3 linked regions of the Callithrix jacchus genome follow. The main gene of each other region encodes a partner of the protein of the gene in region 2 in a complex. Links are inferred from orthologs where the notes say so. Each region holds a gene or a part of one and is shown on either strand. Other genes may lie near its edges.

Region 1 (3,658 bases), on a different chromosome or scaffold from region 2:
GAGCTGGGCTGGGCTGGGCTAGGCCCTATGAGCTGTAGTGAGGAAACGCCCAGCCTGAGAGCTACCCGACAAATCCCTCCAGACCACCACATTCCCTCCCCAGCTGCTGCCCTAGTTCCCAGTGCAGAGCAACTTCTGCCTCCAAACAGACCACAGCCTCAGCCAGAGGAGGCCCATGCCCTGCAACTCCGACTATGCCCACAAAGGCCACTGGCAGCTCATGACGGCCCAATCACCTTTGTGGAAAGTTCCCAACACCCAAGATTCTGCCCCCTCCCATCTCCAGCCTAAAACTACCCAGATCTTTGAGAAGAAATCCTGTGACACTTTTTGAGGACTAAAAGCAGGTATCCAGCTTGGTCAGAAAGGAATGACTGATTCCATATGAGACCTGGTGAGAGCCAGGAGCCTGGGTCGTCGGCAAGCCAAGCCTAGAGTTGGCCCCAACGGTTCCACTCACCTTCACTGTTCTTGGCAAAGTTCAGCTTGATCAGGGACCTCCCGTCCAGTTTCTGGAAGAAGCAGAGTTAATAATGATAATGAATACGTGACTGATGCACAGAGATACTGGGGTCAAACAGAGATGGGCTGAAAAGGTCTCTGACCAGCCAACTCTGGGCAGCTCTGGACAAAAGGGAAGGCCCCAAGCCCCTGCAAGGACCTCATGTGGGCTGCAGGATGGCATCAGGCGGTTGTGTTTATGTGGCACCCCCACCATTCTCTGTGAAGAGCCATCACGGGTGATTCCGAGCTGAGACCAGGCCGCTGGGTGGTGGTATATTTCTGCAGGGTTTGGACATTTTTATGGTGAGCACAGATTACTTCTAAAATTAAAAAATGAACAAATTTCCCCAGGCGCAGTGGCTCATGCCTATAATCCCAGCACTTTGGGAAGCTGAGGCAGGCAGATCACAAAGTCAAGAGATTGAGACCATCTTGACCAACATGGTGAAACTCCATCTGTAGGAAATACACAAAACGTAGCTGAGCATGGTGGCAGGTGCCTGTAGTCCCAGCTACCAGGGAGACTGAGACAGGAGAATCGCTTGAACCCAAGAGGCGGAGATTGCAGTGAGTCGAGATCACGCCACTGCCCTCCAGCCGGGCAACAGAGTGAGAGTCTGTCTCAAAAAAAAAAAGGTATTTCTTCAGCTAGTGGGGCAACACACGGGTCTGCCTTATTATTCTGTTATGTGAATATTTAAGGAAAAAAAAACATTAAAAGTGGGGAGAAAGGGAAGAAATGCACCCCAACGCTACGAGTGGTTGTGTTGGGACGGTGGGACCCTCTATTTTTCTGTTTCTGGATGTTTTTTCTTTTTTCTTATTTCCCCCACTTCTGGTGGCGTGTCTGCAGTTCAGCTCTTCTACAGGAAACTTTCCCATAAAACAAAGTCTGGACAATCAGAGGCGGGAACTGCTGGGGGCGGGGCTGTCAGAGCTATGTGCTGCTGGGGAGCACCTCACTGGGGGCCACATCCCAGCAGCTGCTGCTAGCTGGTGTGGGCTGGGCCCAGCTCTGCCTACCCAGGACCAGGGGAGAGGCAGGAGGAGCCTCCTGGGCCTGGCCCTGAAACTGCAGCAGGCCCTCGTGCTGCCCTCCCCGCCCTCTGTGGGTCCTGCCTGCTGCTGGCCGGCCTAACTGACCACATCTGCTCCTCCACTGCCTTCATTCCTTCGTCATTTAACTACCCCCACCTTCCTACATCACTATAGGTAAGGAAGAGACCACCAGAGGGTCAACAGGGTCCCTATTCAGGCACAGGACCTGAGCAGGGACACCCCCCCACATACAAAACAGGCTCCTTCTGAGCCCCCAAAAGTCATATGGGCAAACCAGCCCTTGGCCCAGGGACTCTCCTCCAGAGGTTTGGCTAGCAAGGCTCTGCTGACGCCCATAGGTCTGTCCAAGCAAGCCCACAGCAAGACCCCTTCCAGAGCACGCCAGGGGAGAGGATAAGGACACATGGGGCACCCCTGCAAACTCACCCCAATATGACAACTGGAACAAAGAAATGGTGGCGCCTCACAGAATGGCTAACTGCCAGATCAGGCTTTGTGGTTGTGGGGCCCAGCACAATCGGCAAGTTTGTAAACCCCAAAGAGCACCTTTGAAGCAAAACACCCAAAGTAACGAAATGCACCCCAGCTGCAACTGAATAAACAACATCCACTGGGACAGCAGAGGCCATGAGTAGCTGGGGACAGGAAAACCCCACCTACCCCACCTCGTCACCAGGCTGCTCCCTGAGGCTGACACCCAGCCACACAGGGCATAGGCGGGCAGCAGGAACTCCTGCTGAGAAGAGACACAGAGGATGACTTCCCAGACTGGGGCACGGACCCTGGGGGAAGCCCCTGGAATCCAATGTGGTGTCAGCAGCAGATATCACAGAAACAGTCTTTTTTTTTTTTTTTTTTTTTTTTTTTGAGATGGAGTCTTGCACTTGCAGCCGCCCAGGCTGGAGTGCCGTGGCACAATCTCGGCTCACTGCAATCTCCGCCTTCTAGGTTCAAGCAATTCTCCTGCCTCAGCCTCCCGAGTAGCTGGGACTACAGGCATGCACCACCATGCTCAGCTAATTTTTTTGTATTTTTAGTAGAGACGGAGTTTCACCATTTTGGCCAGGATGGTCTCGATCTCCTGAACTTGAGATCTGCCTACCTTGGCCTCCCAAAGTGCTGGGATTACAGGCATGAACCACAGAACACAGTCTTTAAGTGATAAAGACCAAGGAAGAAGACTGCCCTCCCTAAGGTGAGGTCACAAGCCCCCACAAGCCCCCTACCTAAGCATCTGAAAGACAAAAGCCATAGGCTTTAGCAGCTGGTCCAAGGACACTCAAAATCAGTCCCCTGGCCAAGTTCCCTCATTTTCAAGAGCAGGAAAGCCTTGGAGGAGCGCTAACTCCATCTATAAAGAGTGCACAGAACCCTGCAGCCCCCAGAAAGTCACAAGGGTCAGAAGAGCTGAGACAGCACAGATGGGCTGCCAGCTTCTCCTGCTGGCCTGGCAGGGAGGGGTGTATTGTCCAGGGAACTCCCTCCCAGTGGATCCAGCACAGGGAACCTGCTGGAGTCCTGACCCTCCACCTCATTTGCACAGTTTGAGCTCTTGCCCCAGGCCACAGGAAAAAGGTGGAGGAATAAATGCAAGGAACTCCAACAGAAAGGGCAAGGTCACTGGTAAAATACACGAGCTCTCCCTCAAGACCAAGCCGAATAATGTCCCCCCAAAACTGATGCTCACTGGAACTGTGGCCTTACTTGGATACAAGGTCTCTGCAGATATAGTAAGATGAGGTCATACTGGATCACAGCTATGGCCTGAGAAAAGATATGCATATATATATATATATATGTGCACAGACAGGAAGCGTTTATGGAAAGGAATGGGTGTAGAGAGAGGAGGGGAAGACTGTTCCTCCTCACTGGGCCTCATGAAAACCACCAGAACAGGAGAGGTGAGAGGAAGGCGTTCACCACCATCACTGAAACTCCCGCACAGCCACCTACCTCTCCATTGCTGGGGTTGGTCCCATACTTCTTAAGCCAGGGAACAATGTTCCTGAAGGGAAGAGGGAACAGAAAGCATCACCAGGGTGCTTAGGCGCCACCTGGTAACAACACTAGAGTCTTGCAGGGCTATTCCAGGTTA
Region 2 (2,597 bases):
TATTTAAGATTACAACCCTACCAGCTACCCCACCCACACCATATACATAATTCTCCCCTCCCAGCACCACCTTCTAACATTTGCTTGCTATGCCTACAGTGTTTGACCTTTCTCCACCACCAGCATTAATGTATACCCAAGAACATGGGAAAATGCCTGTCACATAGAGCTCAACAAATATTTGTTGAATGTAGAATGGATGAACTCGCTTGCCATCTTGTCATTTCTGGAGACATGGTTTCAAATTCCCAGGAAAAAGAAAGGATGTAATTTAAAGAGGCTAGGGAAAACAATGACAGCAAAGATTTTTAAAACAGAAGAAAAAGATGGGATACATTAACCGCAAACTTCAAAACTGAAGTCATTGTGAGACTGAAAATAAAGCTCTTGGAGGAAGTGGCAGTCGGGGAACACTATAAAGGTATACAGGCATATCTAAGTGCCTGGCCACAGACACTGGCATTCGCACCCTCACCCAAACCCATTTCCCACTCGGACTCTCGCGAACCTCGGTGCCTGGAGCTCTTTCCGGAGCCCTCCACCCTAACACAGGAAGTTCACACCAAGAGACTGAACGATTTCTAAACTTTATGGAAAAAGCCAATGACAATCAATTAGGCAAAAACGAGACGCCAAATCCCATCTCACTCCAGCGCCACGCCCTCTTCTCAGAGACTTGCCGGCTGCAGGACCTCTCCGCCAGCACAGTTCTCAGGGGTCCTGCTGGTCTCTCAATGCTGTCCCAAAGTGTCCACATGAAGGCGGGTCAGGAGGGACTTCCCCGGCAAGCACTTCTATACGCAGAAAGCGCGGGACGCAGGAGCCATGGAGAGAGCCGGTCCCTTGAAGGCAGGAATACTCGAGGGATTTGGCAAACGGGAGGAACGCTGGGAGAGGCGCCGCGCACGGCGTTGGTAAGGCAGTCTCAGTTCTCCTCGGGCTTGTCGGCTGGCGGTCCACAAGGCTGCAGCATCTTCTCCATCAAGTTGAAGCGGACTCGCGCTTTGCTCTCATTCTCCGCAATGGCGAAGTAGTTGAGAAGGTCGAAGTGGCCCATGTAGGAGCAGTACGAGTCGCGGTGTTGGTTCACCAGCCACTCCCACTTGGTGGTGTCGGCGTGGCCCGTGCCGATGTACTTGGACTGCAAGTGCTCCAGCTGGCTGTGGATGGTGTAGCGGTCCGTCATCTCGCCGCTTTCCCCTTCGCTCCGAGGTCAGAGGCCGCAGGAAACAAGTCACCGCTCTACCGTTTCAAGCGGGAGTGAGGACACCGCACAGCACCTCCGGGCCCACGCGGTCGCAGAAGAATGGCGTCACTGAGACTAAGTAGTGTAACTCTCGCTCATAGGGCTCAGAGGCGGAAGCGGAAGCGGAAGCACATCAGTCACGGAATTGGAGTTGCCGAGGTATGCGACGCTACAAGTGTGCCGCCCCTGTAGTGAGCCGTGCCCCTTCATAGAGCGTTGCATGATGGTCCGCTTAGTGGCTATGAGAGGCCCTTTTCAACCGGGAGCGTTGCATGCTGGGACTTGTGGTCTTGGTCTTTGGAGTTCGTGCACGCCAGCCTCCGGAACTTCTGGTCGCCTTTTAAAAGCGGTATGGGTGCCTAGTGGAGGGTGTTGTCTGCGAGGCGGGAAGCATCCGTGGTTGGCTTGGGGCTGATGGGAAATGGGAAACCCAAATAGGAGTGGACTACGAGCAACCCCGAAAATAAACTCTTATGTATTTCGGACCTATCGTGGCGGCACGGCAGTCCCTTCACTACCCGGGATGGATTACCCAGAAGTCAGTAGGCGCGAGTTCTGGTCCCAACTATGTCGCTTAGGAGTTTGTAGCATCAAAGAGTTATTTCAGCTCTAACCAGGGTGTTTGGTGAGCAAGTACAGTACCCATTTCCTCACATTCCGGCTCCACCTCAAGTTCCTCCTTCCTCTCTAGCCAGTTATTTTGATATCCTCCCTCCAATGCCTCACGGCACCCTACTTGGCCCTTCCATTCAGTGGGTTTTGTGAATTCAACCAACCCGACTGAAAATATTTGGGAAAAAAATTAGTGTGTACCGAAGTGTAGACTTTTAAAGGTTATTATACCCTAAACAATATAACAACCATTTACATAGTATTTACATTGTATTGGGTATTGTTAAATAATCTAGAGAAAAACTATACGGGAGGATGTGTGTATATGCAAATACAAGCCATTTTATATCAGGGACTTGAGTATCTTCTAGTTTTGGTATCCATGGAGTCCTGGAACCAATCACTCACAGATACTGAGGGACAACTGTACTTCTCCATGTTACCTGTTGTGCCCATTCCCCAGTTCCTTGTGCAAGCTGTTCCCTCTACTTGGAATGTCTGTTCCCTTGGTGAACGCATCTGCCTTAAAGGCAGCTCAAATGCATCTCCCTAGAATTTTCTCTGGCTGCTCCAGACAGATGTAAATTCTTCTTCCTCTTTGCAGATTATCCATCTCTTCCTTATTATTGCTTTATATCCTAATTTTTAGTTTAATAACTTCCTCATATGGATAGAGGCTACCTGAAAAAAACGAGATCCTCTTTAAAAATTATATATATATATATCCCAAACAAGAATT
Region 3 (3,032 bases), on a different chromosome or scaffold from region 2:
GCTGCATGAACTCTCTGAAAATTGTAGCCAGTTCTCCAATCCCAAAGATGCATGGTGCCATTGTCAGCTTAAAGGGAAAAAAATCTAGTTACACCTGGTATCCCTTCAGCAGTACAGCCTGACATTTATTAAGCAAAATTAGCCCAAGCACCAAGGCAATACTACAATTATAAAAATACATACGACACAGGCACTCAACCTTCTCTTAATAATAGTTTGTCTCATTTCATTTGTGCTGGGTTCAGAATTTATAGATCTTATAGATCTTAAAAAGCACCGCAAAGTCTGACATCAATTCCAGAATACCAAACAAAATTTTGGGCAATTCCCAGTATAAATCCCTGAGATTCTTTAGGTGGGAACTCAAAGAGAACTAAACTATGAAATATACTACATGTATTATGAATATGCATAAACACCCATAGTAACATGCACATATACCCTAATCGGGCAAGTGCTGCTCTAATACTTAAGTGTCACAGCTTAGAAGCATTACAAATATTTATTCATCATTAAAAGAAAAAAATAAGAGACCAAACATATTGATTATAAAAATCTTATTTTACCTCCAGATACAAGTACTCCATCAGAATTTACTGTCAACGTGTTAATAATAGCATTATGACCAGAAAGATTTTGAATGAAACTTCCATCAGGGAATTTCCACTGCTTTATGTTATCTGGAGAACCAGATGCAAATGTGTAACTGAAATAATATTAAAAAGAATTAATGACAAAGTAAACCAAGTTAAATAAAGTGGGGTAACAGAACACAAGATACTATGTATGGCATACGATATGATATGTAAAAAGCATGAGATAAAAACAGTGCAATGAAATTTCATTTGAATACATTTCAAATGTCCACGATTAAAATATGACACAGAAACACTATAATAAAGCTTATTATAGTTATATTTTGCATGTGCACTCAATTATTTATGTATTCAGCAAAATACTGTCATATCAAAATGTAAAAATATTAAGACATTCGTTCAAAGATAAATCGGATTTTCAAATTTTAAACAGTATATTTTAAGTCCTAGATGAATGTTTTATTCTCCTTTCATTTCCTTAATCTCTGCAGTAAGCTAGAACAATAAATGTGCAAATGCCCTGTTTCACATGAAGGGCAAGGCAAATGCAACTCTTACAGAGGGAGGGAGAGCAAGACAGGAACGGAAAGAAAGGAAGAGAAGGAAAGGAATAGAGGGCAAGAGGAAGAGAAAGGGAGTGAGGAGGAGAAATGGGAGTGAGAAAGACAAGCAAAGGAAGGAAGAAGAGAGGAGAAAAGGGTATGGAGAGTGAAAAACAGAGAGAAGGAAGGGGGAGAGAGAAAGGATATGCATATAACCAGGAAAGTGTCAGGGTGAACTGATAGAACAAACAGTAGTAGTGATATTATGTTCCACCTCCTGGGATACTTTGACTATACTGTCCAGATTTCTTATTTCTCTTTCTACATATATTAACTTCCTCCTTAAGAATTAAACTATTCAATGAATGTCTCAGTGTTCAGATCATTTATGTCCAAAACATTAAGCCCAGTCACTAATATCTTTTATTTTGACAAGCAGCATTTAATCATGATATATTTACATTGTCTGATTTGACATTATTTACGTGTTATCAAGTAGAAGGCTTTCCTTATGTTTTATAGGGAATAAAGCAAAATAGTGCATGAAGAAAATAAAAGAAACACATGTTCCTGTGTGACACAGGCCTAGAAATGACAGCAGCTAAATGACTGCCAAAAAGCATGCTGACACGAGCATTTCAGCATTATACTAAGAACTGAAGAAAAAAGAGAAGCTAATTAGGAAAATACACTTACTGTCTTGGATGTAAAACTACAGCCCTAACTGATTTTTTGTGATTTGTTAAAGTCACTCTTGTTTTTCCAGCCACCAGATCCCATAATCGAATTGTAGTATCATGGCTTCCTGTAATGGAAATACATACATCTCTCAAAACAGACCAGAAAAAAGAATGAAAATTAAATAAAATACAAAGCATTCTTCCAAAACACATATGTTCTAAATAAAAGTCTTATCACTTGGAAATTAGTCTTGGCTAATTTCTTCATAGTTCCAAACGTTTAGGTTGACTTTAAATCTTTAAAAAATTACAATTGATTCACTGTCAATTGAACAGCTAGAACAAACGCAAATAACAAATAAAACAAATATATGATTTTATACCCTCATGAAAGGGAAAAACTCCAATGATTTTTTAAGTTAATAAAATACAACAGGCACAGGAATTATTTTCTAGTATTAAAGATCCAACTTTATTTAGAGAAAAACAAGATTCAAATCATTTCTAAAGGTTCTAAAGGTTACTAGTCTCAAGGTATTTTGTCTTCTAACTTTAATTTTCTAGAAAAATAATTTTGACACTGTAAAATAGTAAACTGCTCATAACACAGTATTCTAGTCAGACATTACAGGATACTATGTATGGCATACTCTATGATATGTAAAAAGCATGAGATAAAAACAGTGAAATGAAATTTCATTTGAATATATTTCAAATGTCCATGATTAAAATATGACACAGAAACACTGTAAACACAATACAAAGCATGAGTCATCGTGACTATTAAAAGTGTATGTATAACATGGATTCTGTTATGAATATGCTGTAAACTTGAAAAGTATCAATCATACCTGTAATAATTTGTGGTTCTGCAGCCTGACATCTCACTGTAGCAACTGCATTTGTATGTCCAGATAACGTGTGTACGCTGGCTTTAGTTCTCACATCCCAAATCTATAAAAATGCAACAGACATAATATAATGAAGAAAATGCTTTAAATCAAAGATAATGATTTATAAACTGGAGAAAGAATATAAATAGACAGCTTGCAAGAATTTTAAAAAGCTGAAAGATCAGGTACTGAAAGTCTAGGAATGGGTATGATGGGACTACTTCTGGACTACTGAATGAAAGAACTAATGGACAATAGTTGTGGTTACAGAACGGAATGTGAGAATGTCACACTTCAGGGGAAGGGCACTAACAACACTAA

The links.
Region 1: SF3B5 (region 2) and PPIL2 share a complex: the UniProt entries of both Homo sapiens proteins name them as parts of the minor spliceosome. The link is inferred for Callithrix jacchus from reciprocal best matches to the Homo sapiens genes SF3B5 and PPIL2.
Region 3: SF3B5 (region 2) and PLRG1 share a complex: the UniProt entries of both Homo sapiens proteins name them as parts of the minor spliceosome. The link is inferred for Callithrix jacchus from reciprocal best matches to the Homo sapiens genes SF3B5 and PLRG1.

Annotation. Positions count from the first base shown.
Region 1 is NC_133502.1:193,645,093-193,648,750, reverse strand, and holds part of PPIL2 (RING-type E3 ubiquitin-protein ligase PPIL2), read right to left. Parts: intron 3,569-3,658; coding exon 3,517-3,568; intron 513-3,516; coding exon 461-512; intron 1-460. UniProt on the Homo sapiens protein: Has a ubiquitin-protein ligase activity acting as an E3 ubiquitin protein ligase or as an ubiquitin-ubiquitin ligase promoting elongation of ubiquitin chains on substrates.
Region 2 is NC_133505.1:150,851,864-150,854,460, forward strand, and holds SF3B5 (splicing factor 3B subunit 5), read right to left. Parts: upstream 1,307-2,597; 5' UTR 1,187-1,306; coding exon 926-1,186; 3' UTR 571-925; downstream 1-570. Other genes in the region: uncharacterized protein LOC118153004, read left to right, coding at 1,307-1,405. UniProt on the Homo sapiens protein: Component of the 17S U2 SnRNP complex of the spliceosome, a large ribonucleoprotein complex that removes introns from transcribed pre-mRNAs.
Region 3 is NC_133504.1:42,079,393-42,082,424, reverse strand, and holds part of PLRG1 (pleiotropic regulator 1), read right to left. Parts: intron 2,773-3,032; coding exon 2,670-2,772; intron 1,944-2,669; coding exon 1,835-1,943; intron 707-1,834; coding exon 567-706; intron 68-566; coding exon 1-67. UniProt on the Homo sapiens protein: Involved in pre-mRNA splicing as component of the spliceosome. Component of the PRP19-CDC5L complex that forms an integral part of the spliceosome and is required for activating pre-mRNA splicing.